3 linked regions of the Tribolium castaneum genome follow. The protein of the gene in region 2 binds, or shares a complex with, the protein of the main gene of each other region. Links are inferred from orthologs where the notes say so. Each region holds a gene or a part of one and is shown on either strand. Other genes may lie near its edges.

Region 1 (3,803 bases), on a different chromosome or scaffold from region 2:
ACACACCCCCTATTGCCAGAAGTTTCTCCAGAACTCGATTGGTAAGTTATCTCAATTATCACTTATCACTGACGCAAATTTTCAAATGTTGACTGAATTTTTTATCGCACTATTTGCTTCAAAATCGCGATAAATGTTTTACGTAACGCTGTTTACTACGTCCCAACTCTTTGTGTTTTTAACCACACTTCATTGTTAATTTTGCACCACGTGTCCACAATAAATAATTCCAAGTGAATTCTTTGTTTTCCTTTCGTTAATATGTGGCCACCCGGTATTGAAACTTATCTAACGCAAACAAGTCTAAATCCAGTTCATTGTTGAATGGCCGTCCGCGCGCACCATGGAGCCCCTCCCCTTGACCGGTAACGCCATTCCCTTGGTGGTAACAGCCCCATATGGTCTTTTCCAGATAGTACCACGGCCCAACAGGTCCGCTTCCCCTCCGCCACCAAGACCAAGTCCAGTGGCGTGGACGACGGTTTCAAAGGCGAGGCCGCGAAATGCGGCACTTCTGTGGTGCGAGTGGCCCACCAGATGGTGTTAGGGAAAGCCATCCGTGGCTTTGACATCCAGAAAAAAGATTGTGATTTGCCCCCAGAGGGTTTCAACCCTTCGTTACGTCGAGGGAGCAAGTCGTTGCCCGCGTCGCCCCTGACGTCCCCCAACTCGTCCCCGAAAAGCACGCGACGCGTGAACAAATACTTCACGGGGCCTTTTGTCGACTCCGAACACCAGGGCAGTTGGATTTTGTCGAATTTGTTGGCCAAGAGGCAGAATTTGTCACAGAGTATGGGCTTTATCGCTGAAGAGGAGAAGGAGATGAAGAGGACAGAGTCGAATTTGAGTGTGGATGAGGTGTCGAATGGCAAGAGGAGTCAGGTGTTTGTACCCAAACCGTCAGAACTTAGGGAAATGAATTTTTGGTCTCCCACTTCCATGTGAAGTGGGCACATTTAATGTTGTCTAAGCAATATCTTTAATTTTTAGTTGGTTTCTTTTAGACATTGATTATTTTTGTAACTGTAATCATAATGCTCATTAAATTTATTTAAGTACACCAAAATCGTGTTTTAATGCCGCAAGATCGACCTCAAAGTCGCTAGTTATTTTAGAACACCCGTGGGTGGTATAAATAGAATTTGTTCTACGACTCGGGTTTTGGCGGGGTTACTTCCAAAAAACGTTTCCATGAGGTAATTAGGGGGCCACATGCTCGGAATAAAAAGCCAAAAAAAAAATATATAAATTCACACCAATATGATAACTTGACCGAGACTATCCAAATAATAGCAATTGTTAGTTGGTAAAGATTACTAGCATAGTAAATTATGCTGAAATTTCGTCCAAACGTTGCTTTTTACTCTACATACAGCTTTCCAAAAAATTTTAAAAATGACTAAATGTCAAGTGTATAATTGGTTGCATAGTCACTTTGTTTTAATTTTAAGTTTGGAGGGCGCCAAACGTTTTAATATCGAAATATTAGCAACAATTTGCACTAAACTTTAATTATAATTGCTGCTTAAGGTTACTAGTGGTCTGAAATGGCAGGTTTGTACCAATTTCTCTCTTATTTGACCTGAGAACCCACCTAACCTCAATTTTAGACGACTGTGCAGACCCTGAGTTATTTTCGCCCCGCAGGGGTTCCCGGCAACGCAATTTGAGTCTAAAAGCTAAAGAATACGTATCTACTTCCAGTAGGAGGAAACGTGGCTTTAAAAAACTGAATATTTCTACAGCAACTGAGTCTGAGGACGATTCCAATTGTGAGAGTAGTGAAAAACCAACAGGTGGACCATTTGCCTGTTGTATAACTTCCTTCATGAGTTTTTTGTAGTTTTGCACGATAATGACCATGTCCCTGGTGATAAATTATTCACGTTTCAAACGCGCAAAAAGTGCGAAGTCGTTCAACAAACGCCGCACGCTTTTAGGGACAAAATGAGGAAAAATATCGTGGCGAAAATTTTGGAAGAGAATGGTTCGAGCGGAGATGATTTTTCAGCCAGTGAGAGTGAATTCGAAGTGTCTGAGGAAAATTCAGAGGAGTCTTCCAGCAGTGACGACACACCGCCTCCCCCGCAAAACAAAAATATTAAACCCACTTTAGGAGCGAGAAAAGTCAATTACACTATAAAAACAGACGATTATTTCGCACAACACGCCAGTAAAAAAACTCTAACGTCCAATCACACTTTAGATAAGTTGGAGACACCAAGACTGCCGCAAGACCAACTGCATAAACTTTTGTCGAGAGTTAGCCTAGGGTGTGAGCATGAAAAAGCCACGAAAAAATTAATCGAGACGAATTGCGCCTATTTTGATAAGTGGATGTATTTGATGCATGAAAATTTCAATATTTTGTTGTATGGGTTGGGCTCAAAGAAGGGCGTTTTGAATGCTTTTCACGAAAAGTGTTTGAAGAAGTTGCCAACGGTTGTCGTGAACGGATTTTTCCCTTCATTATCAATTAAAGATGTCCTTGACGGGATTATTTTAAATTTACTAGAACTGAAGGAAAATCCCTCAAATATTTACGAGGCCTGCGACCTTATCGAGCGCGAATTTAGTTTTATTCCCGAAACTCATTTATACCTCATTGTGCACAACATCGACATGATGCGGAGTGGAAAAGCCCAAAGTGTCTTTGCAAGACTCGCGTCAGTCAATAACATTCATCTAATCGCGTCAATTGACCACATAAATGCCCCCCTAAGTAATGAAAAATTCTAGTAGTGCGCAAAAACTTTGATTGTTGTTTTAGTTTGGGACCATTCCAAAATAAGTAAATTCAATTTCACGTGGTGGGACGTTACCACTTTCCAACGCTATATTGACGAAACGTCCTTCGAAAGCTCAATGTTGGTCCAAAGGACCGGAAACCTGGCCTTATCATCGCTTCGGAACGTTTTCTTATCACTGACGAGCAACTCCAAAGGAATTTACTTAATCCTCGTCAAGTATCAAATCGAAAATGGCAAAAAACAATACTATCAAGGTGATTTATCAGTTTGTGCGTTCAAAACTGATTGATTTGTTGCAGGCCTGGCGTTTAAAGACTTGTACTCTTTGTGCCGCGAGGCATTTTTGGTGAGTTCGGACCTGGCATTGCGGGCCCAACTCACCGAATTCGTGGACCACAAAATGGTGAAGTTCAAGAGAGCGCCAGACGGGACTGAGTATTTGATAATCCCGATTGCAAACGCGTTATTACAGCAATTTTTAAATGAACATTCCGGTTGATTGTATTTTCCAATAAAAATTTAAGTTGGCGCTCGCGTTTGAATCACCTGCTGCCATCTTCGTGGAAGACAGTCGAACTAAAAAACAAGATGGTTTCGCAGTGCTGAATTTTATTTGAGTCAAAAAATCGAATTTTTCGCTTGGTTCAGACGATCATTGTTCGAATTGTACGCAAAAATGTTATTGTGTGTCGTTTCGATATGTCGCCGCCGTGAAGGCGCATGAATGCGTGGTGAATTCCTGGGTGAGTATCATATGTTTATTTTTGAAGGTTATCTTTTGTTGGTGCTTCCACTTTTCGGGTCGTTGGGACACGCGAGGGGGCCGAAATGGCCCCAATGTGGCTGCTCGTAACTGTGCCGAAAGCCGGCCGAGGCGGTGTGAGAATGACCGGAAATTGTGGCAATTTGTAAATAAAAACAAACAATCCGTTTTATCTCTCGGTGTGAACTTTCCAAGGTTAAACCGTCTGCGTGCACGGGGGTGGCAGCCAGTGCGAGGCTTTAGCCCCCCGCGTTATTAATTGACTCCGTTTTGCTCCGGACAGACATTGT
Region 2 (4,117 bases):
AAACAGTGGGTTTAAATTATTGGCGAAAGTATTGGTAGAAAAATTTAATAAATATAAAGACATTGGTAGAAAAAATTAGCCACCCCAAGTGAGTCTGGCCACATGGTCAGTCTTCCTTTTGGAGCTCTTGATGAATCCCAAATACTCCAGTTCGGCTACAGCCTGCGTAAATCGGGCCCTAAATGTGCGTTAAGTCAAATTTTATTAAAAAAAATAAAATAAAAACAAAAAAAGGATACTGCAACTGAGGACTGACTTTCGGGTTGTCTTCAGTCTCCTGTGGGTCAACAATACTAAGGAAAGACTGGAGCCAGTCGTACAAATTAATCATTTTCCCACACTCTAAGTGGAGTTTGTAGACGATACTGATGTCAGGCATTGAGGGAAGGATCACAGAATCGGTGGCAATTTCGCAGCAAGGACACTAAAACAATACAGTATTTTCCCCTTCGTGTTAACACAAGTATTGTAAAAAAATAATTACCTGTAAATAAACGTGGGGGTCATTGAGCGCTGTGTGAATAGCCGCCCTGTGAGAGCCTATGATGTGAGTCTGGACTGAAATGTCGTTAAAGAAGAAAATTTCGTGAAAGTGAAAATCGGTCGGTTCCTGTAAATATATTTCGAACTGTTCGGACAAAAAATTGAGTAAGCCTGAGCGGATTTTCTCGTATTTGTTCATCGGTTTGTTTTGCTTCGACATTTGGAGCAATTTCTGGAAGAAAAAACTAGACACGTAATAAAAAATCACCGGAAAAAACCTCTCTGAGTTGTAATCTCCCCATTAGTTCACTTATGCCCTCTTGGGCCACCTCATTTTCGTCTTCTTCCTGATCAAGATTGTGTAAATTATCCAAAAAACGGTTAAGCCTATCGGTTATCACACGCCCCACTTCCAAACCCTCACTGTTATTAACAATTAAATCCGTGATTCTTTTCACTTTGTTACACAATTCGTCCCTCGATTGAAACGCCAGTAGTTGGAAACACTCTTTATATTCCTGACTTTTGGTAATATTTCGTGAAACGGCACACGCGTACAGTTCACGAACCTTCAAAACCTAGTTAATTTGACGATTGCAATGAAAATACTTGACACCTGTTTCCCCAAAGGCGCTTTGGGTAAATCCCCCACAAGAACGTGCAAGCACCTCAAAAACAAGTGCAAATTCGGCAAATACGCCACAATTTTGCGCACTTCCCGCAGCAAAACATTTCTGAAATAATTATCATCAGTCAGGAGCGCGATTCGGGCTTCCGGGGATTCACTCTCGACCAGTTTTCGGAACGACATCAACCGACGAGCATTTTCGAGATCATCGTGCGAGAAATCGGAGATAATTTGCTTGATGTGTTTCCTCTGACAGAGGGCCATAACATTGCCGTAACAAAAATGCTCAAGCATGGCGTACTAAAACCAAAATTTCACGAAAAAGTGACACAATTTTCGGCGCAATCACCTTAAAGTTCTGGATAAAACCGCTGACTGAAAGATCGTAAAATAGGAAAATGTCGGTGAATAAATTAAAAACCTTGCCGCCTAAGTGAAAGGGGCACTGGCGCGAAAATAAAATATTCTCCAATATGTTGTTCAAATAAACCGTGGAGGGAGTTGAGTGAAAAACCTGGATGTTAATGCGCGAGGAAACGTAACAAGGGAGTGACCGATGAACGGCGTTAAGGGACGTCGCAACTCCAAAAACAAAGACAAAGGGTAAAACGTTTAGATACGAGCTCGCGATTTGGATAAAATCTTGCAACACTTTCGGGGCAAAATTCTCAAAATCGGGGATTATAACAACGATTATGTTTTTATTGTGTTTGGTTTTTTGCTTTTTTGGCGAGTTGGCGGTTCCTGGAGGTTGGTAGAGTTCCTCATACCAGGCCTGGAGAAGTGTGAAACTGCACTGTGATTTTTTAATCTGGCGCGTGTCTGAGTCAGAATCCTTCGGAAATCATTGCATCATTGAAACGAAACGCCTTTTACTTTCTTACCTCATCTATAAGTTGTTCGCTTTTGACTAATTGATTGACCATTATTTCAACGAGATATTTCAAACTGTGGCAATCCTCGCCACTGAGAGTAACAACGTGTGGTGTTATTGAGCGTTTGATTTCTTTTTTGAGCGTTTTGAATTGGACTGAATGGTCGGGCATGTTTATGCCAGTGAGTAAAGCTGCGGCTGGGATTTCACTCACTGTGTCTTTGTAACAGTTTTTGAGAAAATTTACTAAACTACAAAGGATATTGGAAAACATGGCGTTATTTAATTCCTAAAATAAATCAAATAAAAAATACTTAGCGCACGAAAGTGAGGATTAGTACTTGAATTTGGGTTTCGATTGATTCCCACAAAGACTTGTAAGTTTTATACCACAAGCTATCACAGTAGAGACTCTGGGTACGTTTGTCTTTCGTTCTGGATTTTTTTGAAGCTGCTTTAGCCCCATTTTTGAAGACAAAAACACCCTGAAATTGGCGCCAAATTGTGAACAATCATTAAATGCAATCTCAGTACGACTGAATCTTGATTTTGCAATAAACTAGTGTTAAGTACGCATATCAGAGGCGGAAAACGTTGATAAAAGAGTGTTACAAAGGAAAAATAGCGCAATTTTAACACAAGTTTTCAGGTTAGGTTTCGAATATTACCTTTGAAACGGACACGGTCGCAGCCATTTCAATAAACAATATTCACGTAACTCTATTGCGTAAAACTAAATAAATTTTTTAGATTAAAATTGTTCAGTAATCACAAATAAGTTACAATTGTTACAACAAACAACAATTTGAAAAATGACATTTGACATTACGAGCCATTTTGAAGCTGGTGGCGCTTTTTATGAAAAGTTTCCAAAACCATAAAAGTAAAAAATACAAATTTTGATTAAAAATATTACTGTGCTGTGTCACACTAAATATATCCAATTATGGCTGTGCTAAATTAATTTGTGTTAATCAAAAATTAAATAAAACTAAAAATATTATCACTGTATTGTTGGTTGCATGCTCAAAAGCTTTATTGTGGCGTGTAAAGAATTTGTAAATTGTAACATTGTAACTTGTATTTTTTATTTTTTTTCTGAAATAAATAATAACTGATTATAAGAATTTCAAAAAAAAACATTTTGAGGGAGAGGATAGCTAGTTACGGTATAGTTAAGAAAATCGCATCCATAAAAAAATAATTTAGCGCACGAGAGATCTTTCTTTATTAGGTGTATCAAGCAAAAAATAAATAATAAATAAATAAATAAAAATAATATATAAATAAAAAAATTATTACTAATTTAATGCACTCCTAAAGCAGGAAAGTGTACTTCCGTCAGAGTTAAGTACAGTGGAACTCCCAACATTTTATTTAAATTTCAGTAAACTTTGTAATCTGACACAGACCTTTCCATAATCTAACGTTCTATTTATTATACGTAGTAGCATTGAACTTCCTCACTCCATATATTCAGCTTACGATTATGTTCATCTGCTAAAATAGCATCTTGCAAGCTTGGCTACCTATTAACCTATTAATCTGTAGCCAGACGTTATTAGAACAAGAGCAAAAATCAAGGCAACACTAAACACCTAACTCTAGTTATGAGTTATGACTATGAGATGTTAAATAATTAAACAACGCAAGAATAAAAAATATTACTAGTGCTTTGAAGCGTTTCCATTTTAGATTTTATCGAAAAAAACCCACCGAAAAGAGTTTTTAAATTAATGTCAAGGTATACTTTACATACCCATGGTTACTTACTTAATTATGTAAATACTTAATTTGAGGTGGTTCACGTTTTACGGTATTGGCCATCTGCAGAGTGCATTTTGTAAGCACAGCAGGTATAAGGTTTTAAAATTGCTCTGAAACATGATGTGTCATCGTATTACTCTGCAGGTGAAGTGTATAACTTTGCGATGTTTGACTGATAAAGAAATAATTGCACGGTTTCTTGAAACATAAAACAAAAGCAACAATCACGTGTGGAAAAACAGAGGCTTAACTCCCTAAAAATTGTATCAAATTGTTTATTTTTTGCCATAATGTTCCAAGAATAAACAAACCAATGTTTTGTTTATTCTTGAAGAAACTCGTTTATCCAAATAAGGCAAACAGAG
Region 3 (3,474 bases), on a different chromosome or scaffold from region 2:
TAAACCGAAATAAAATACCCGCAAATTGCGAATTCCCCTCAGTATGGACAATGAACAGTTAAAATATCATTCATCAAACGCCGACTGGCCCATCAATCCCGCTCCGTCCCGTTACCCCCAACGTTTGTACCCGCTGTGCCCTACACACAATGAAACGCATCGATCGTTGCATCGAGGCCGCGGCCTAATGACATAATTCCTCCGTCAATACCATCAAATTTGATATACGCGCGGTCGTAACCTCGCATTAGCAGCTTATTACATCCCTTGCGCGATTTTTTTAAGACACTCCGTGAATATCCATTGACGATGCTTTTACTGCGTTTACCGAGCCAAGCTCTGATTTCCCCTTTGGCAAAAAGAAGACAATCCTCTCGAGACACCCACACTCCTTACCTACCTCGTAACTTCCAGCTATAAACGTTCGCCTCGATAACCAATAGTAAAAATCGGACCAATCGTAAAACAAGGCGCATCATAGAGCTAAGTGATTTAACTTCCGAAGGACGGGCATAAAGAAAAAATCAATCTTATATTAGAAAAATGTATTAACTCATTCACATGTGACTGAAATCACTCAAATATTTGCGAATGTTGAAACCCACCATCTTGCACACTGTTTGGATGAAATCAAAGTTGACGTTACATTTGTATTTGGCTCCATCCAGGCTTGAACTATCGGATAAGCTCGATAGCAATTGCAGTTCCACTAGACTTGACACTTGTACCAATAGATTGTTATTAAAACCGACTTTGTCCTCAACTATGGAATAAAAAATCGCCAGCAATCTATCAAAACTGAAGGGTTTGGGTCCCAGGACAGTGTTCAGCTGTTCGCTCACTTTACTTTTCTTCTTAACATCTCTCAAAGTTTTCGTTTTCTTTCCGTGATACTTCATGAACAGTCTCTTATCGTCCTTTGCAGGATTATAGCTGGCTAGATAGGCAGCAATTAGTAGATATTTGGCATAGAAGGGCAGTTCGAGGCTCTGCGGTAGAGTGACTGTTGAGACTCTCAGATAGAGATTCTGCAGGGCTTGTTTGAGAGTGGGTGCGACTTTTCTCCACAAAGCCAGCGAATCGCTGATGGTGTTTTCTTTACTGATGATCGGTTGACAGTAGTTGAGAAAGTTACTTCTGGCGATATAACGAAGTTCTGTCAAGTCCCGACAGTTTCGATAAAAAACCGAAAGAAAAACATTCAAGTAATTTCGATAAAAGTCGACGTCAAATTCAAACCCTCCACCTTTCGCATTATTGATAATCAGATTTCGGGCATAATCGATATCCAACGTGAGGATCTCCAGTAATTCATCTTTGTTGTATTGAGGAAAGGTGATTTGAATCGGCTCGACGATGTTAGTTTTGGAATAGAACTTCTGAAGGATGATTTGTGAGAGGAAAATGACGCTTATGTGAATCCCTCCGGTGAGCTCTTTGAGTTTGAGAAATCCCGGAAATATGTTGAAATCCATAGTCCGGAGCTTGTCGGCTTTGTCGATAATTAGCACAGATCGGTGTATTTCGGACCGATTCCGCTGCAAATGATCAATGAAATCCATCATGTTCTCGCATTTCGTATCCACTAAGCCACAAAGCTTGCTCAAAATCGTCTCGTACAGGATTTTACTGGTGTAGCATTCGATCATATTGATAACTGCATGCTTAACACCAACTTCCTCCAAAACTCGACTAACAACAATGGATTTGCCGACGCTCGGACCTCCGCTAATGTAAACGCTGCCAGGAAACGGCTCCTCGTTGTGCCCGAAGAGATTATAAAGTTGGCCTATTTGGGAGGAGCGACAGGGCAAAGTCGACTCCAGGCGAGATAGTGTGGACATCATCGCTATTAACCTGCAACCAGAACAAATCCTCTGCTCAAATGTCATAATGCCAAACCAAAAACATATTTCATCTAATCTACTGTCAAACACTCTTAACTTGGCTCCAGTAGAAAAATCATCCGTGGACATTTTAATAACAATTGATGTTCCGGTTCATTATTAATTTTGAAAAACGTCAGCAAAAATCGTCTTGGTGACAAAGAGGGGGGTGGTTAATCTTGAAAAATTCATAAGCTTTTTTTGGACCAAAGTTCTTGAATATTTCACACTAATAATTTCGGTCTTGGTACTAATTTCAAGACAAAACCACGACTTTTCTTGTCTTGCTGCGAGCCATACGTTTCTGGAATAACATTTTGGTTGCATTTAAATAAATAATTTAAATTTGGCAAGAACATCGCATTTCTCAGTTCGAGTGCTCTGTAGACTTTGTCCAATTTTTCCTCCAATTAATCGAAAAAATGATTTATTAAATCTACGTCAGTAGCCGTCCGGCAAAACAATCCCATTCCGAAACATTTCTCCTCCAAAGAATCGATACCAAACACACGAATGCAATATCCGCATCAAATTACTAATCCGACCGAGGAAAAAGTGTATCGTAGCCTTTCGCCCGCCCAACAAAAGCTCACGTCGCCATCAATTCCGGACGATGGGAAGCGTGCCCGGAATACCATCTCCTTCCCATCGACTTTCTTCGATTATCTCTTGATTTACACGCGAAAGCCCCGTTGTGCAAGTCGCCATTCTCGTCGCCTTCATTTCGTCAAAACTTCTTCTTTGGGTAATTATCGTCGAAGTAAGTGCGTCTAATGTCCGATTGCGGGGCGATAGTGTCTAAAAAATGGTGTGTGCGGGGCGCCAGTGACAGTGGAGCTTGCGTAGTCCGCCCTCATCGATTTGCGACCCGCTTGCAGACTCCTGGTGGAAGCGGTTGTGACCTCGAGCCTCCTGCAGTCGAGATTCGTGCTCGCGAAGACGATCATCTGCCGCCGCGACTTGTGTTCGTAAAAGCACCACTGCCACGCCACACACCGACCAAAAAAAGGACGTTGGGAAGACGCACCGCGACGCTGCCGCCGCGACGCGATGTGATTTCTTGCTCCAAGATAAATAAAGAAATGACATTACGGCGCGATTGAGTGACGATGGAAAAGGGTGAGCGATTTTTCCCTTCCATTCTTTGCTTTGCTTACCGCCGCCGACGACAAATATTTAATGTGATCTCGACTGGATTAAGGACGAGATATATAAACGACGCTGAAGAGAAACTGGCCCTTCTTTGACGTTATAAAGAGTTATAGACTTGGGGGAGGTTGCTTTATGGACACATAAAAAATCGGCTTGTCACAGATCTATTGATAGGAGACGCACGGTGGGGCAATAAACGACTAAATGCATTAGGATAAGTGGCTTGTGATGTTTGGACCATGAAATTTCGGAAATTTACGGAAAAAATTGCTCGTAATGCGAACTTAATTCGGTTACTTTTTTATTAACGGTTATAATTACCTCCGAATTTGCAAAGTAACTGAACCATTTGTAACAATATAATGAAATCTTCCCAAATTGCTGATAATTCTGTTATGTAGTTGGAGTTTGGTCTGAAAAATAGATTAGCTTTCAG

Evidence for each region.
Region 1: the proteins of Orc3 (region 2) and Orc2 are in contact, whole or in part, in a cryo-EM structure (PDB 7JPO), measured with the Homo sapiens proteins. The link is inferred for Tribolium castaneum from reciprocal best matches to the Homo sapiens genes ORC3 and ORC2. Residues at the interface, in NP_036513.2 of Homo sapiens: Thr3, Ser4, Ser5, Met6, Ser7, Lys8, Gly9, Cys10, Phe11, Val12, Phe13, Lys14, Pro15, Arg20, Ile22, Ile26, Tyr29, Phe30, Lys32, Tyr47, Val111, Thr112, Lys139, Asp318, Lys326, Gln329, Leu330, Leu333, Tyr337, Glu589; in NP_006181.1 of Homo sapiens: Leu239, Glu242, Tyr243, Ala246, His247, Asp268, Arg273, Leu276, Val279, Ser280, Phe283, Glu286, Leu287, Leu290, Lys296, Leu297, His299, Lys300, Met302, Leu303, Gln304, His306, Leu307, Phe309, Tyr314, Gly315, Leu316, Arg320, Glu324, Arg327.
Region 3: the proteins of Orc3 (region 2) and Orc5 are in contact, whole or in part, in a cryo-EM structure (PDB 7JPO), measured with the Homo sapiens proteins. The link is inferred for Tribolium castaneum from reciprocal best matches to the Homo sapiens genes ORC3 and ORC5. Residues at the interface, in NP_036513.2 of Homo sapiens: Glu99, Val109, Met144, Lys145, Leu148, His178, Ser180, Met181, Asp182, Glu223, Asp232, Ile235, Ile236, Gln239, His240, Ala253, Thr254, Ser255, Pro256, Ile257, Ile258, Ile259, Arg261, His265, Ser269, Cys272, Ile273, Glu274, Leu275, Ser280; in NP_002544.1 of Homo sapiens: Asn62, Val64, Glu65, Phe67, Thr68, Arg70, Leu71, Gln75, Tyr129, Leu270, Arg271, Ser274, Ser275, Ser276, Gln277, Leu294, His297, Thr298, His299, Val300, Glu301, Leu302, Pro303, Tyr304, Tyr305, Ser306, Asp360, Tyr367, Arg373, Pro376.

What each region holds. Positions count from the first base shown.
Region 1 is NC_087397.1:6,382,061-6,385,863, forward strand, and holds Orc2 (origin recognition complex subunit 2), read left to right. Parts: upstream 1-1,396; 5' UTR 1,397-1,547; coding exon 1,548-1,554; intron 1,555-1,610; coding exon 1,611-1,796; intron 1,797-1,843; coding exon 1,844-2,722; intron 2,723-2,770; coding exon 2,771-3,004; intron 3,005-3,049; coding exon 3,050-3,249; 3' UTR 3,250-3,278; downstream 3,279-3,803. Other genes in the region: uncharacterized protein LOC655336, read left to right, coding at 1-41, 413-945. UniProt on the Homo sapiens protein: Component of the origin recognition complex (ORC) that binds origins of replication. DNA-binding is ATP-dependent. The specific DNA sequences that define origins of replication have not been identified yet.
Region 2 is NC_087398.1:1,395,551-1,399,667, reverse strand, and holds Orc3 (origin recognition complex subunit 3), read right to left. Parts: upstream 2,830-4,117; 5' UTR 2,681-2,829; coding exon 2,654-2,680; intron 2,471-2,653; coding exon 2,327-2,470; intron 2,275-2,326; coding exon 1,996-2,274; intron 1,947-1,995; coding exon 1,461-1,946; intron 1,412-1,460; coding exon 1,100-1,411; intron 1,053-1,099; coding exon 762-1,052; intron 716-761; coding exon 485-715; intron 425-484; coding exon 240-424; intron 179-239; coding exon 76-178; 3' UTR 30-75; downstream 1-29. UniProt on the Homo sapiens protein: Component of the origin recognition complex (ORC) that binds origins of replication. DNA-binding is ATP-dependent. The specific DNA sequences that define origins of replication have not been identified yet.
Region 3 is NC_087395.1:24,006,960-24,010,433, reverse strand, and holds the end of Orc5 (origin recognition complex subunit 5), read right to left. Parts: intron 3,006-3,474; coding exon of another isoform or gene 2,996-3,005; exon of another isoform or gene 2,310-2,995; intron 1,878-2,309; 5' UTR 1,848-1,877; coding exon 558-1,847; 3' UTR 531-557; downstream 1-530. Other genes in the region: uncharacterized protein LOC663028, read left to right, coding at 2,996-3,005. UniProt on the Homo sapiens protein: Component of the origin recognition complex (ORC) that binds origins of replication. DNA-binding is ATP-dependent. The specific DNA sequences that define origins of replication have not been identified yet.